Macaca mulatta: one gene and its partners. The protein of the gene in region 1 interacts with the protein of each later gene in a biochemical or structural test. Links are inferred from orthologs where the notes say so. Each region holds a gene or a part of one and is shown in the gene's direction. Other genes may lie near its edges.

The links.
Region 2: the proteins of GNAZ (region 1) and LRRK1 form a complex in vitro, tested with the Homo sapiens proteins (2 studies listed by BioGRID and IntAct, with this or other methods). The link is inferred for Macaca mulatta from reciprocal best matches to the Homo sapiens genes GNAZ and LRRK1.
Region 3: the proteins of GNAZ (region 1) and RGS20 form a complex in vitro, tested with the Homo sapiens proteins (2 studies listed by BioGRID, with this or other methods). The link is inferred for Macaca mulatta from reciprocal best matches to the Homo sapiens genes GNAZ and RGS20.

The regions. Positions count from the first base shown.
Region 1 is NC_133415.1:29,499,576-29,503,075, reverse strand, and holds part of GNAZ (guanine nucleotide-binding protein G(z) subunit alpha), read left to right. Parts: intron 1-192; 5' UTR 193-641; coding exon 642-1,364; intron 1,365-3,500. UniProt on the Homo sapiens protein: Guanine nucleotide-binding proteins (G proteins) are involved as modulators or transducers in various transmembrane signaling systems.
Region 2 is NC_133412.1:91,285,305-91,289,604, forward strand, and holds the start of LRRK1 (leucine-rich repeat serine/threonine-protein kinase 1), read left to right. Parts: upstream 1-1,500; 5' UTR 1,501-1,773; exon of another isoform or gene 1,774-2,038; intron 2,039-2,285; exon of another isoform or gene 2,286-2,799; intron 2,800-3,055; exon of another isoform or gene 3,056-3,212; intron 3,213-4,300.
Region 3 is NC_133413.1:64,602,275-64,606,118, forward strand, and holds part of RGS20 (regulator of G-protein signaling 20), read left to right. Parts: intron 1-2,325; coding exon 2,326-2,560; intron 2,561-3,844. UniProt on the Homo sapiens protein: Inhibits signal transduction by increasing the GTPase activity of G protein alpha subunits thereby driving them into their inactive GDP-bound form.

The DNA.
Region 1 (3,500 bases):
GCAGACACACGTGTTACACCGTGGTGTGGACCCTGCAGTGCCCCATGGAGGAGAGGGGGTCGGATGGATTGTTGCCGGCTCATTTTCCGAGGCCAGTCTCTGCTGCTCGGCTTTCAGAAGAGCTCCCTTTCACTGTCCAGCCTGAGGTGGGGCCACAGGGAGGAGGCTCACACTCTTCTCTGTGTTTGGCAGGTGAAGGGCTGGATGCACAGTGGGAGCCGGAGGCGGGGGGCTGCAGGGAGCACAGCAGTGACCAGCCCTCCAACCCTCCAACCACTCAGCAACATCGCCACAGCAACCAGCAACCAGACGGCAGCAGCCGAGGCAGACACAAGCGGACGGCTTCCCACCGTCGCTGAGGACAGGGAATGACTACGGCAAATCAGGCCACTTTGCTGACTAGGGAGGTGGAGTGTCACTAGTGGGGAGGGGCGGCCGCCGCCCGCTGCACAGAGCGCCATGCCGGCTGGAGAAGAGGCACTGGGGCAGGGGCTGCAGTGTGGCTCGGCCTCACCCCCCTGCTGGCACTGAGTGCCTCCAGGGCAGCTGGGCTCTCGTCTGCCTGGTCTCAGCGTCCCCTGTGGTAAGAGGGAGAGGCGCCCCGTCCCGTGCTCCTTGTCTGGGCCCGCTGCTGCCAGACCATGGGATGTCGGCAAAGCTCAGAGGAAAAAGAAGCAGCCCGGCGGTCCCGGAGAATTGACCGCCACCTGCGCTCAGAGAGCCAACGGCAGCGCCGCGAGATCAAGCTGCTCCTGCTGGGCACCAGCAACTCAGGCAAGAGCACCATCGTCAAACAGATGAAGATCATCCACAGCGGCGGCTTCAACCTGGAGGCCTGCAAGGAGTACAAGCCCCTCATCATCTACAACGCCATCGACTCGCTGACCCGCATCATCCGGGCCCTGGCCGCCCTCAGGATCGATTTCCACAACCCCGACCGCGCCTACGACGCTGTGCAGCTCTTCGCGCTGACAGGCCCCGCTGAGAGCAAGGGCGAGATCACACCCGAGCTGCTGGGCGTCATGCGGCGGCTCTGGGCCGACCCAGGGGCACAGGCCTGCTTCAGCCGCTCCAGCGAGTATCACCTGGAGGACAACGCGGCCTACTACCTGAACGACCTGGAGCGCATTGCCGCAGCTGACTACATCCCTACTGTCGAGGACATCCTGCGCTCCCGGGACATGACCACGGGCATCGTGGAGAACAAGTTCACCTTCAAGGAGCTCACCTTCAAGATGGTGGACGTGGGGGGGCAGAGGTCAGAGCGCAAAAAGTGGATCCACTGCTTCGAGGGCGTCACAGCCATCATCTTCTGTGTGGAGCTCAGCGGCTACGACCTGAAACTCTACGAGGATAACCAGACAGTAAGTGGGGCCGGGGGTTTTCCTCTGCTTGTTCCTGCTGTCACGGGTTCTTGGAAGCAAGAGGACTCGCGAGGTCCAGGACAGTCCGCAGCCAGAAAGGGAACCAGGCGCAGGCCTGGCCCTGCTGCACGATAAATGAGGCGGCTCCAGCAAGGTGGGGGCAGAGGGAGCAGGGTGTGGAGTGCAGGTGTCATGTCCCATGCCTGAAGTACTCAGGGTGTGGAGGCCACAGGGCAAGAGAGTGTGAGGCTCCGCCGGGCATCCGTGGTCAGTCCGTGTGATAGTTTGGCAAATCCATGAAGCTCCTGCCAGCACCAGTCTCCTACCAGCATGTAGGTCCAGGAACAGCAGCCAGCCCTGCAACCCCATCTTGAGCCTGAGAGTCTGGCAGAGATGGGGTTAAGAGCTCTTTAGAAGGGATAAGCCAGGTCCTGGTGGAAAGGGGACGACGTGAAAGCAGGTGTTGGGATTCTTTCACAGTGGCATGGGCACAGCCCGAGGGAGACCTGGGCCCAGTGCCAAGCACTGGGGGCTTGAGAGTGGAGTTGCTGGAGAGAGTGGGGAGCCAGGTGAAGCAGTGGAGCAGTGTGCTCAGGCCCAGCCAATACAGAAGGTCTAGCACACGAAGGGGGCCACAGCCAGGAGTGGCAGTGGTAGAGGCTGTGGCAGACAAGGGAGGGGCTGTCTTGCCCAGCAGGACGCCCTGAGCACAGATTTCAAGTCTCTCCTTAAGAGAGAGGCCTTTGACCCTGGGGATGGGATAGTGGGGGCAAACAAGGAGTCATGAAGTTGTGGGTGCCCTGGGGCTAGCGGAGGGTGATACTGGGAGACAAGGGCCCAGCCTCCCACTTGGGAGCACTGGCCTCTGAGGTCACTCCTTGCTTCACCCAGTCCTAAGGCAAGCTTTATTCTTTGGGTTCAGCCGAGAGCAACAATGGTTCTAGCTTTGGCCCTGTGCCCCAGCCAGGGAAACTGGACAGCTCCAGGCTGTAGCCATGGTGCTAGGAGCCTGAGTGTTCTGAGAGAGGATCTTCGGCTTTCATCAGGCAGCTGGGGAGGCAGGCTTGCCTCCCTCCACTCCTCGCTTCAGGGCTCTCCCTGGAACTGTGCCTACGTGTTGATGGCATGCCTGGGGGAAACGAATGATGGATGGGCAGGCAGGTGTGTACACAGGCGGCTGCATCCACCCTGCTCCCAGTGTGTATCTGTGTGCTCTCCAGGGTTCTGCCCCTTACCCTATGGTTGCCCCCAGTTCAGCCCCATGTGTGGTTCTGGGCAGAGGGGACATCCCAGCAGATGAGTGAGGTCAGGCTCCCTTGATGAGGCATGGCCATGGGCAGAGGCCTTGGGGCTGAGAAGCTGCAAGGCAAAATGAGGTGCTCAGGCTGGACCCCTGGGACAGTGCCATGGTGGGTCTGCCAGCCACCCTGCAGCTGCCAGTCACACGGGCTTGCACCACTGGCCTCATCCATCAACTCAGTGGCAGGCATGGCAAATTCCCCAGACACCAGGCCTGGCTCCCAGTTGCATCCTTTGACCGGCTGTGCCCGCAGGTGTGCTGGACCCAGGAGGCAGGATACCTGGGCCTTGAGTTGGTCCAGTGTTTCATGGAGGGCTTCGGCTGTTACCTTTGCTTTCTGAACTTGTCAGTGAGGAGATGACCCAGGTGTCTTCACAGATGGGCCCAAGGCTAGGCCTTTGCCTGCCCACAGCCCTCTCAGCTCTGCCTGGCCTGTGCCTCCCACCTTGCTGCCTCTCTCTTCTCTCCTTCTGCTCCAGCCGTGGTCAACATGTTTTGCTCCAGCAATATTGCTCTGTCCAGCCTTAAGCTTGTAACGATCCTGATACCTGCCTCTCACCCCCCTGCCCTTATCCTTCAGGTCTCATCCCAAGTGGCGCCTCCTGGGAGGCCTTTTCTAACCTAGCCTGGCACCTGTACACCCCTCTATCTAGTAATGTGTGAGTGAGCTCCTCAGGGCAGGCCCTGGATGGGCTGGGGGCCGCTGTGGGCCCTCGCATCTCTAGTCTTCCCTCTCCCAGGGCTGTCCCTGGGGAGAGCCACGGTGGGCAGCCATGAGCAGGGACAGCAGCCACTGGCCTGGCCTCAGGGATCCCTGTGAGGTTCCAGGCATTCAG
Region 2 (4,300 bases), on another chromosome or scaffold:
TTTGAATTCTATGGCAGGCCTTTCTCTTTCTGAGACCTGTACAAAATGGCTGATATTAAAGCAGGATCAATAATGTAAGCATAAAATTACATTTACTCTGTCAATTGGGCCCAGTGCTTTGCCTGACTCTGAAACCCATTTCTGTGGGCTCGGGTTGACCAAGCAAGGAGCTGGGCCTCAGAGGTTCCACATCATATCTGGCTGAGTTTCAGCTGTCATCTAAGCTGCCTGAGTCTCCGTTTATCATTAAGTGGTAATGATGTCAGTGCGGGAAATGGTGGGGAGGACCGCATGAGGATTGACAGACAGCATTGTGCCCCTGACTGTGAGCACAAGTGTCTGTTTTTGTCACCTTTTCCTCTGAGGATCTAGAGAAAGGATCAATTTGGGTTTCACTGACCTCAAGTTTCTAAAGCTTCTAACCAAGAAGCCTCAATCACCACGTTGGGAGCTGACACTGACACTGGATCAAGATCATTGGTGGTACTGGGGTATGTTCTTGAAGCTCAACCTGTGCATTTGATGTAGAAAGCCCAGATCACTTTGATGTGGGTGGCAAAGCACCACCTCTTTAACAAAAAACTTAAGGGAGGCTGGGATCAGATCTCTCGTAAGATACACACTTATGTTAAGAGAATTTAGACACATTATTTAGAGACATCCCATTTCTCAATCCAAATGCGAGCAGAAAACTATAGGAGAAGGATATTTTCCCTCATTTGGTGTCCCGGAATGTGACTCCCTGAAGGGAGCCATTCTGGGGACAATTGGAGGGTGTAGTGTGCGTGTGCACACATGCATTTGTGTGCCTGGTGTGCGTGTGGGGGTTGGCACACTCTCTAGAAGTGGACCCTTTGGGATGGCCTAGCTTCTTCTGCTGGTGGATGAAGATTTGCTCCTTGCTCCTAGGCATGAGCTTGAAGGGGGTTCATGAAGGGCGTTTAGGAAGTTGTTCAAGGAAGACTGTCAGAGGAAACTGCGAACTGGGCTGAAGAAAAACAACCAGAAAACACAGAAGGAGCTCTCAGCCACTGTGCCTTCAAAAAGAGAGAAAAGTCAGTTCAGGGAGGTGGCTTCCAGCTGACCTCACCCACCTCAGGAGGGGTCATTCCAACCTAGGGTGCTGAGAATCCGGGTGGGATTACCAACAAAAGCTAGAGAACCGTGGGTCAGCGAGCCTTAGGAAGAAGTGGAAAGGAATCTTAACTTATCTGCAATAGCCTTCCTATGAGAAGTTGTGGCTAACACATGCCTAATGGCTAGAATTAAATGCTGGGAATATAACGGGCTCAACACAGGTCATCCGCGTGTCAAATGTTCCTGCTGTTTTCTACATTGGGGACATTTCCTAGCCTATTCCCAAGCTCATTTAGAAGGGAAGCGGAGGTGCCCCGCCTTACTGGGCGGCGTCCCCTCCAGCGGCTGCCCGGGCCCTGGGCCTGCGCTCCCTCGCGGTGGCGCCAGGTGGCGGGGCTGCGCGCCCTGGAGGAGCTGCGCCTCAGTCGCGGGGCTCTCTCAGCACTGAGGACACCACGCCCTGCAAACTGTTGGGAACTTATCTGTAGCAATCACACTGCTGGCTCCTGTAAACTGGTGTGAGGCCCTCAGGGGTGAGAACAGGATTGCAGAACTGCGCTTACCTTTTTGGAAACTCGTCCAGTGGCAGGAGCAGCCTCCCAGGAGCAGAGCAGACCTGCTCGGTGGTCCCCTCGCCAACCAGGGACCCAAGAAGCCGCTCAAGGAAACACGGTCCCGCGGTGTCCGGGAGGTCCTGTAAGAGCCCTGTAGCTGCCCGGGTTCTGTGAAATGTCAGTGAGGGTGGGGGAGATCTGCGCGAAATCCTGGGAATATGCGAGTCATAACACTTCAGAAGAGGAGCCTAGGGTGCTGGTCCTGCAGGGCGTGGAACCCTCTGCTTTTCCTGAGCAGGCCTTTTCCCTGGGTCGACACGTGGAGCTCAGTGTGAGGCCCTCCTGCAGAGTGGACGCGGATCTTTATGGTCTGCGTTTCTATATTAGCCTCAGCAGCCTGATGACACCTTTATGAAAGGTTGAAACACGATAAATTACCAATATTCCATGTTTTATGTATTCCCCCCAAAGCCGACAATTAAACATGATTCACCAAACAGCAAATACTTTGCATACATCCATTATTGAATTAGTAAAATCCATATGATGGAGGATGTGCAAACTGCAAATCGTTAACGCTTTAGAACTACATATTTCTGTATTGCCCTGGAAAGAACTGTACACAAATGAATATTCCCTGTCTTTTTAATTTTTACGGACGGAGTGTATGGGCCACATGCAAGTTAGGGGCTGATCTGCTGATTTTGCTGCCACTAGAGCAGAGGGATAGTGAAAGCGGGGCTGAGCGCAGCACCGACCAATCTCATCGCCGCGCTTGCCCCGCGTGGAGGGAGCCGAGTGCCCGAACCTGAGGGAGAGACCTGGTACTAGAATGGCCCGCGGACCCCGGCGTCTCCCGGGGCACTGGGGTTGAGCGCGATCGCCCGCGTTTTACGGCTAGGGAAACTGAGGCGGCCACCGAGGGGACGCCTCGAAACCATTCCGGCGAGAGCTGGCGGCGGCCTTGCTCTGCGAGCTCTTCGCGCCACTCGCCCTCCCCGCCCGCCCGCCGGCCTCAGGATTGAGGAAGTGCGTCTGGGCCCGGCCCCGGCGCGCGGCCCGAGGCGCGGGGGGCAGACGGCTGTGGGACGGCCAGGCCCCGGCCCGCCAGTGTCCGCCCAGCCCCGCGTCCCGGAGCGTCCGTACCCGGGCCCCGCCGCCGCCGCAGGTAAGTGCTGTTCCTCTCCGCGCCCCCCAGGGACCTGGTTGCCTCCTGCGGCCGGCCCGGGAATCCGGAGCCCGCGCCCGCGTCCGCGGGGAGCCCTGGCCTCTGCCTGCCGCGGGCCTGCGCTCCAGGCGGCCGCATGGTCGGACATGGGTGGCCCTTGCGCAGGGGCCGCAGCCCGAGGGGCGCGGAGGGCGTGTGGGGTGACCCCCAGTCTCACGTCCCGGCTGCCTCCCGCCACGCCCGTAGCCCAGCCAACCTGTGGTAGGGGGGTGTGCGGGCCCGAGCGGGGAACCCCGAAACCCCGTATGGGACAGGGTCGGGAACGCTGGGAAGCAGAGGCAAGAAACACAAGCAGGCAAATACACCAGGGCGTCCATATATTTCCTCTCCCTTTGGAGAAAACCCCGTCCTTTAACGGGGAGCGGGCGGAGAGTGAGCGCGCGGTTGTGCCTGTGCCAGGGTGTTGACAAGAGACAGCCCAGGAGTCTCTCACTGCTCCAGGGCTTCCTGGTGTTGCGGGGTGGCCCAGCGAGGCTTCACCCTCCTCAATGTCTGGGTTATGCTTCTTGCCCAGGTGTCTCTGGCTGGTACAACTGCTATGTCTGCCATGGTCTCTGCAACCTACGCAGGACCTTCCCGGCAGGCAGGGACGCAGGCGAGGAAGCCTAGTAAGGCCGGGGTCAGCCGGGAGCCGATGGTGGAGAATATAAAGACCCCTGTGGCCATTTCAACCTACCCCTTCACAGTTTGAGGCCACGAAATTTTTCTCCCACAAACACATCCCCTGCAACAGGTAGAGAAACAGGGGCATATAGCTTTTAGCAAACCTCTCACCATGTACACTAATTTTAGAGTTTGCCACTCACTCGCAGGGTATCAAAATGCCCAGACATTAAAGGGACAGCTAGAACATGCACAATTTTGGAAAATGTTAAGTTAAATGTCTTTTATGATTTGATTTTCTTCATCTGTGCCTATGTCCTGAAAGAGAAAATAGTATAACAAACTAACCTCACACCTAATTTGTTCCTAAAGGAGGTTTTGCTGTCAGCCAAACTTTTCCTTCTCCCAAATGTCAATGTCTCAGGGAGTGACCTCACAATCAACTCAGATGCTCAGATCAAAAACATTCAGTCTGTGGATCTACGTCTAAAATGTGTCCTGGTCTGTCCCCTTTTTTCTTATGTCCCCCACCCCTTGTCCCGGGTACCAGCATCTCTTTACTGTAGGATTACAGTTCCCCCTCCTTCCATTCTCTATATAGCAGCGTGTGTGTTTGTGTGTGTGTGTGTGTGTGTGTGTGTGTGTGTGTTTAAATGGGTAAATAGGACTATATCAGTCCTCTGTATGGAATCCTTCAGTAGCTTCTCCTTGCCATTGGCATGCGATCCAGGAGACCTCCTTCTCCTTACACCCCCAGCTGATCCAGCCTCTGCTATCTCAGACCACCAGGCCATTGCCCCCAGCCACCCTGACTGAGCTCACTGTCCAGCACTGGGCC
Region 3 (3,844 bases), on another chromosome or scaffold:
GGGAGAAAGAAAAAGCTATAGATGCTTGCCAAAAATTAAATGGTATATAAGTAAAGAAAGTGATCTAACCTCTAAGAGAGTAAACACTGTTAACACATTTCTTTTTTTTTTTTTTTTTTTTGGAGATGGAGTCTAGCTCTGTCGCCCAGGCTGGAGTGCAGTGGTGTGATCTTGACTCACTGCAACCTCTGCCTCCCGGGTTCAAGTGATTCTCATGCCTCAGCCTCCCAAGCAGCTGGGATTACAGGTACCCACCACCACACCTGGCTAATTTTTGTATTTTTAGTAGAGATGGGGTTTCACCATGTTGGCCAGGCTGGTCTTGAACTCCTGACCTCAGGTGATCTGCCCGCCTCAGCCTCCCAAAGTGCTAGGATTACAAGCGTGAGCCACTGTGCCCAGCCTGTTAACACATTTCTTAAAAAAAATGACCTGGAAGATTTGAAAACAAACAAAATAGAAGTTTTAAAAATGAAATATTATTGTTCAAATTGTTTTAAAATTGATGATTGAAATAAAAGATTAGATACAGCTAAATAAATAGTGAACCTGAAGGTATCCAAAAAGACCCATATAACAAGGAGATTGAAATACAGTTTGAGTATCCCTTATCCAAAATGCTTGGAACTAGAAATGTTTCAGATTTCAGATTTTTTCAGATTTCAGAATATTTGCATTATACTTACCAGTGGCTCACACCTGTAATCCCAGCACTTTGGGAAGCCAAGGTGGGTGGATCACCCGAGGTCAGGAGTTCCAGACCAGCCTGGCCAACATGGTGAAATCGCATCTCTACTAAAAATACAAAAAAGTAGCCGGGTGTGGTAGTGAGCACCTGTAATCCCAGCTCCTTGGGAGGCTGAGGCAGGAGAATCGCTTGAACCTGGGAGGCGGAGGTTGCAGTGAGTCGAGATCATGCCATTGCACTCCAGCCTGGGCTACAGAGAGAGACTCTGTCTTAAAAAAATAAAATAAATAAATAAATAAAAACTAAAGACTACATTTTTCAGGGTTACATACATACATTTAAAACTATGGAAACAAAATAAAAGAGATATTAAGGATCGTTATTAAGCTATGTTTTCTGATCTCGATACAATTATGACAGAAGTAAGAATTAACTCAAAGGGGTAACCCCAAAGTCAAGTATAGCAGTTCCCTAGGGGACGAAGCTGGGAGACAGTAGCAAGTAGAAGTAGCACCAAAATAAATGCAACATTGTCAGTGCTGTTCTGGTTCTTAAGGAAAATAGCCCATTCATAAGTGTTCATTTACACTGGAGACGCGGAAAGGTGGATGGGAGGGTGGGAGGTAGGTAAGGGATGAGAAATTACCTGATGATTACAATGCACACTATCCCATTGATGGCTACGCTAAAAACACAGGCTTCACCACTGTGCAGTGTATCCATGTAACAATGTATCCATGCACTTGCACCCCCAATTATATTTTTTAAATGTTTGTAATTTTTTTTTAAAAGTGAGTCAGATGCAGTGGCTCACACCTGTAATCCCAGCACTCTGGGAGGCCAAGGTGGGTGGATCGCTTAAGCCTAAGAGTTTGAGACCAGCCTAGGCAACATAGTAAGACCTGACTCCACAAAGAATACAAAAAATTAGCTGGGCATGGTGGCACCTGCCTGTAGTCCCTGCTACTTGGGAGGCCAAGGAGAGAGAATCATATGAGCATAGTAAGCCGAGGCTGCAGTAAGCTGTGATCACCCCACTGCACTCCAGCCTTGGCAACAAAGCGAGACTCTCAAAAAAAAAAAAAAAAAAAAAGTGTTCATTTTGTTGTCACCTTTGGACAGTACAGCGGTGGCATTTATAACTTGCATTTATATTACATATATTCTCTTTCTCAAATATTACATAATTTTAAAATACATTAAGCACACACTTGCTCTGTTGTTCTAGAGGTTTAATGTTGTCAAACCTGACTTAGTTCTGTTGTAGTACAGAACTCATCACAGGTGATTAGGAAGTTTTGGGTCAGATGGTTGTAGGATTTTTCTTTACATTTATAGTTTTAAAAATATTGCAAGATGTGCCCAGTTGTAAACAAGCATGTTCTTAGCAGTTATTATAGCAACTTGGTTTGCAAGCCTTTTGGTATGCAATCCAGCAAACAATGTGAAAGTATCATATTCATGTGTTTTTCCCAAAGGCTTGAAGAAAGGAGAACAGCTCTTCTCCTTCCTAAAAGGGCCTAAATGCATATATTTCTCATTCTTGGAGGAGGAAAAGATACATTTCTAATGATGAAATTCCAATTAACTACCACTAACAGTTCCCCTATGCCCCTTCTCTTTTGGTCTCCACGAAGCCCTGCTCCTACTCTGGAAGAAGTCAATGCCTGGGCTCAGTCATTCGACAAATTAATGGTCACTCCAGCAGGAAGGAATGCATTCCGTGAATTCCTCCGAACAGAATTCAGTGAAGAAAATATGCTCTTCTGGATGGCCTGTGAGGAACTGAAAAAGGAAGCTAATAAAAACATTATTGAAGAGAAAGCAAGGATAATCTATGAAGACTACATTTCTATACTTTCTCCTAAGGAGGTATGTGACCACGAAATGCCTTCTCCCAAGGCTGATGGTAAAAGTATTAACTTGGTGCAAAAGCAACTGCCACAGGCCGGGCACGTTGGGTCACGCCTGTAATCCCAGCACTTTGGGAGGCTGAGGCGGGCAGATCACCTGAGGTCAGGAGTTGGAGACCAGCCTGACCAACATGGTGAAACCCCGTCTCTACCAAAAATACAAAAATTAGCCTGGTGTGGTCACGGGTGCCTGTAATCCCAGCTGCTTGGGAGGCTGAGGCAGGAGAATCACTTGAACCTAGGAGGCAGAGGTTGCAATGAGCTGAGATTGCGCCACTGCACTCCAGCCTGGGTGACAAGAGCGAAACTCCATCTCAAAAAACTAAACAAAAGTAATCATCTTTTTTTTCTTTTTTTCTTTTTTGAGACAGAGTCTCACTCTGTCGCCCAGGCTGGAGTGCAATGCTACGACCTTGGCTCAGTGCAACCTCTGCCTCCCGGGTTCAAGTGATTCTTCTGCCTCAGCCTCCAGAGTAGTTGGATTATAGGTACGCACCACCACGCCTGGCTAATTTTTGTATTTTTAGTAGAGACAGGGTTTCACCATGTTGGCCAGAATGGTCTTGATCTCTTGACCTCATGATCCACCCACCTTGGCCTCCCAAAGTGCTGGGATTACAGGCATAAGCCACTGTGCCTGGCCTCGCCATTACTTTTAACTTTTTCCAGAAAAATGCACAAAAGTTTTCACAGATTTCAGAGGACACTTGGAGCCCTTCTGCAGGTCCACAGTCAAAGGGATCTGCATACCGTGAATGCGGGTGCAGCTGTTTTCTACATTTTGCAGTTGCTGTTCTGGGTCAAGCTGAACATGACCAAACAGCTGCACCCTCATTCACAGCATTCAGATCCCTTTGACTGTGGACCTGCAGAGGGGCTGCAAGTGTCCTCTGAAATCTGTGAAAACTTTTGTGCATTTTTCTGGAAAAAGTATCCCCTGGAGTCTGCATTTGATGGTGAACACTGTTTACAAACATTACACCCTAAGAAGTTCCTTTAAATAAAATTATCTTGTTATTCTGAGAAAAATATTGTCTTTAGGTATCTTGATGTTACAGGGCAGCAGCATCACAGATGTGATACTGATGCGGAAAAGGTTTTCCCCAGGCTGGCCTTTTCACATTCAAGAAATTATCAGTTGAATGAGATTGGGCAAGTTTCCACCTGTCAGAGTTTCAGTTACTTCAGATCTAAAATGTAGGAGGTCAGGCCTGGCACAGTGGCTCACTTCTGTAATCCCAGC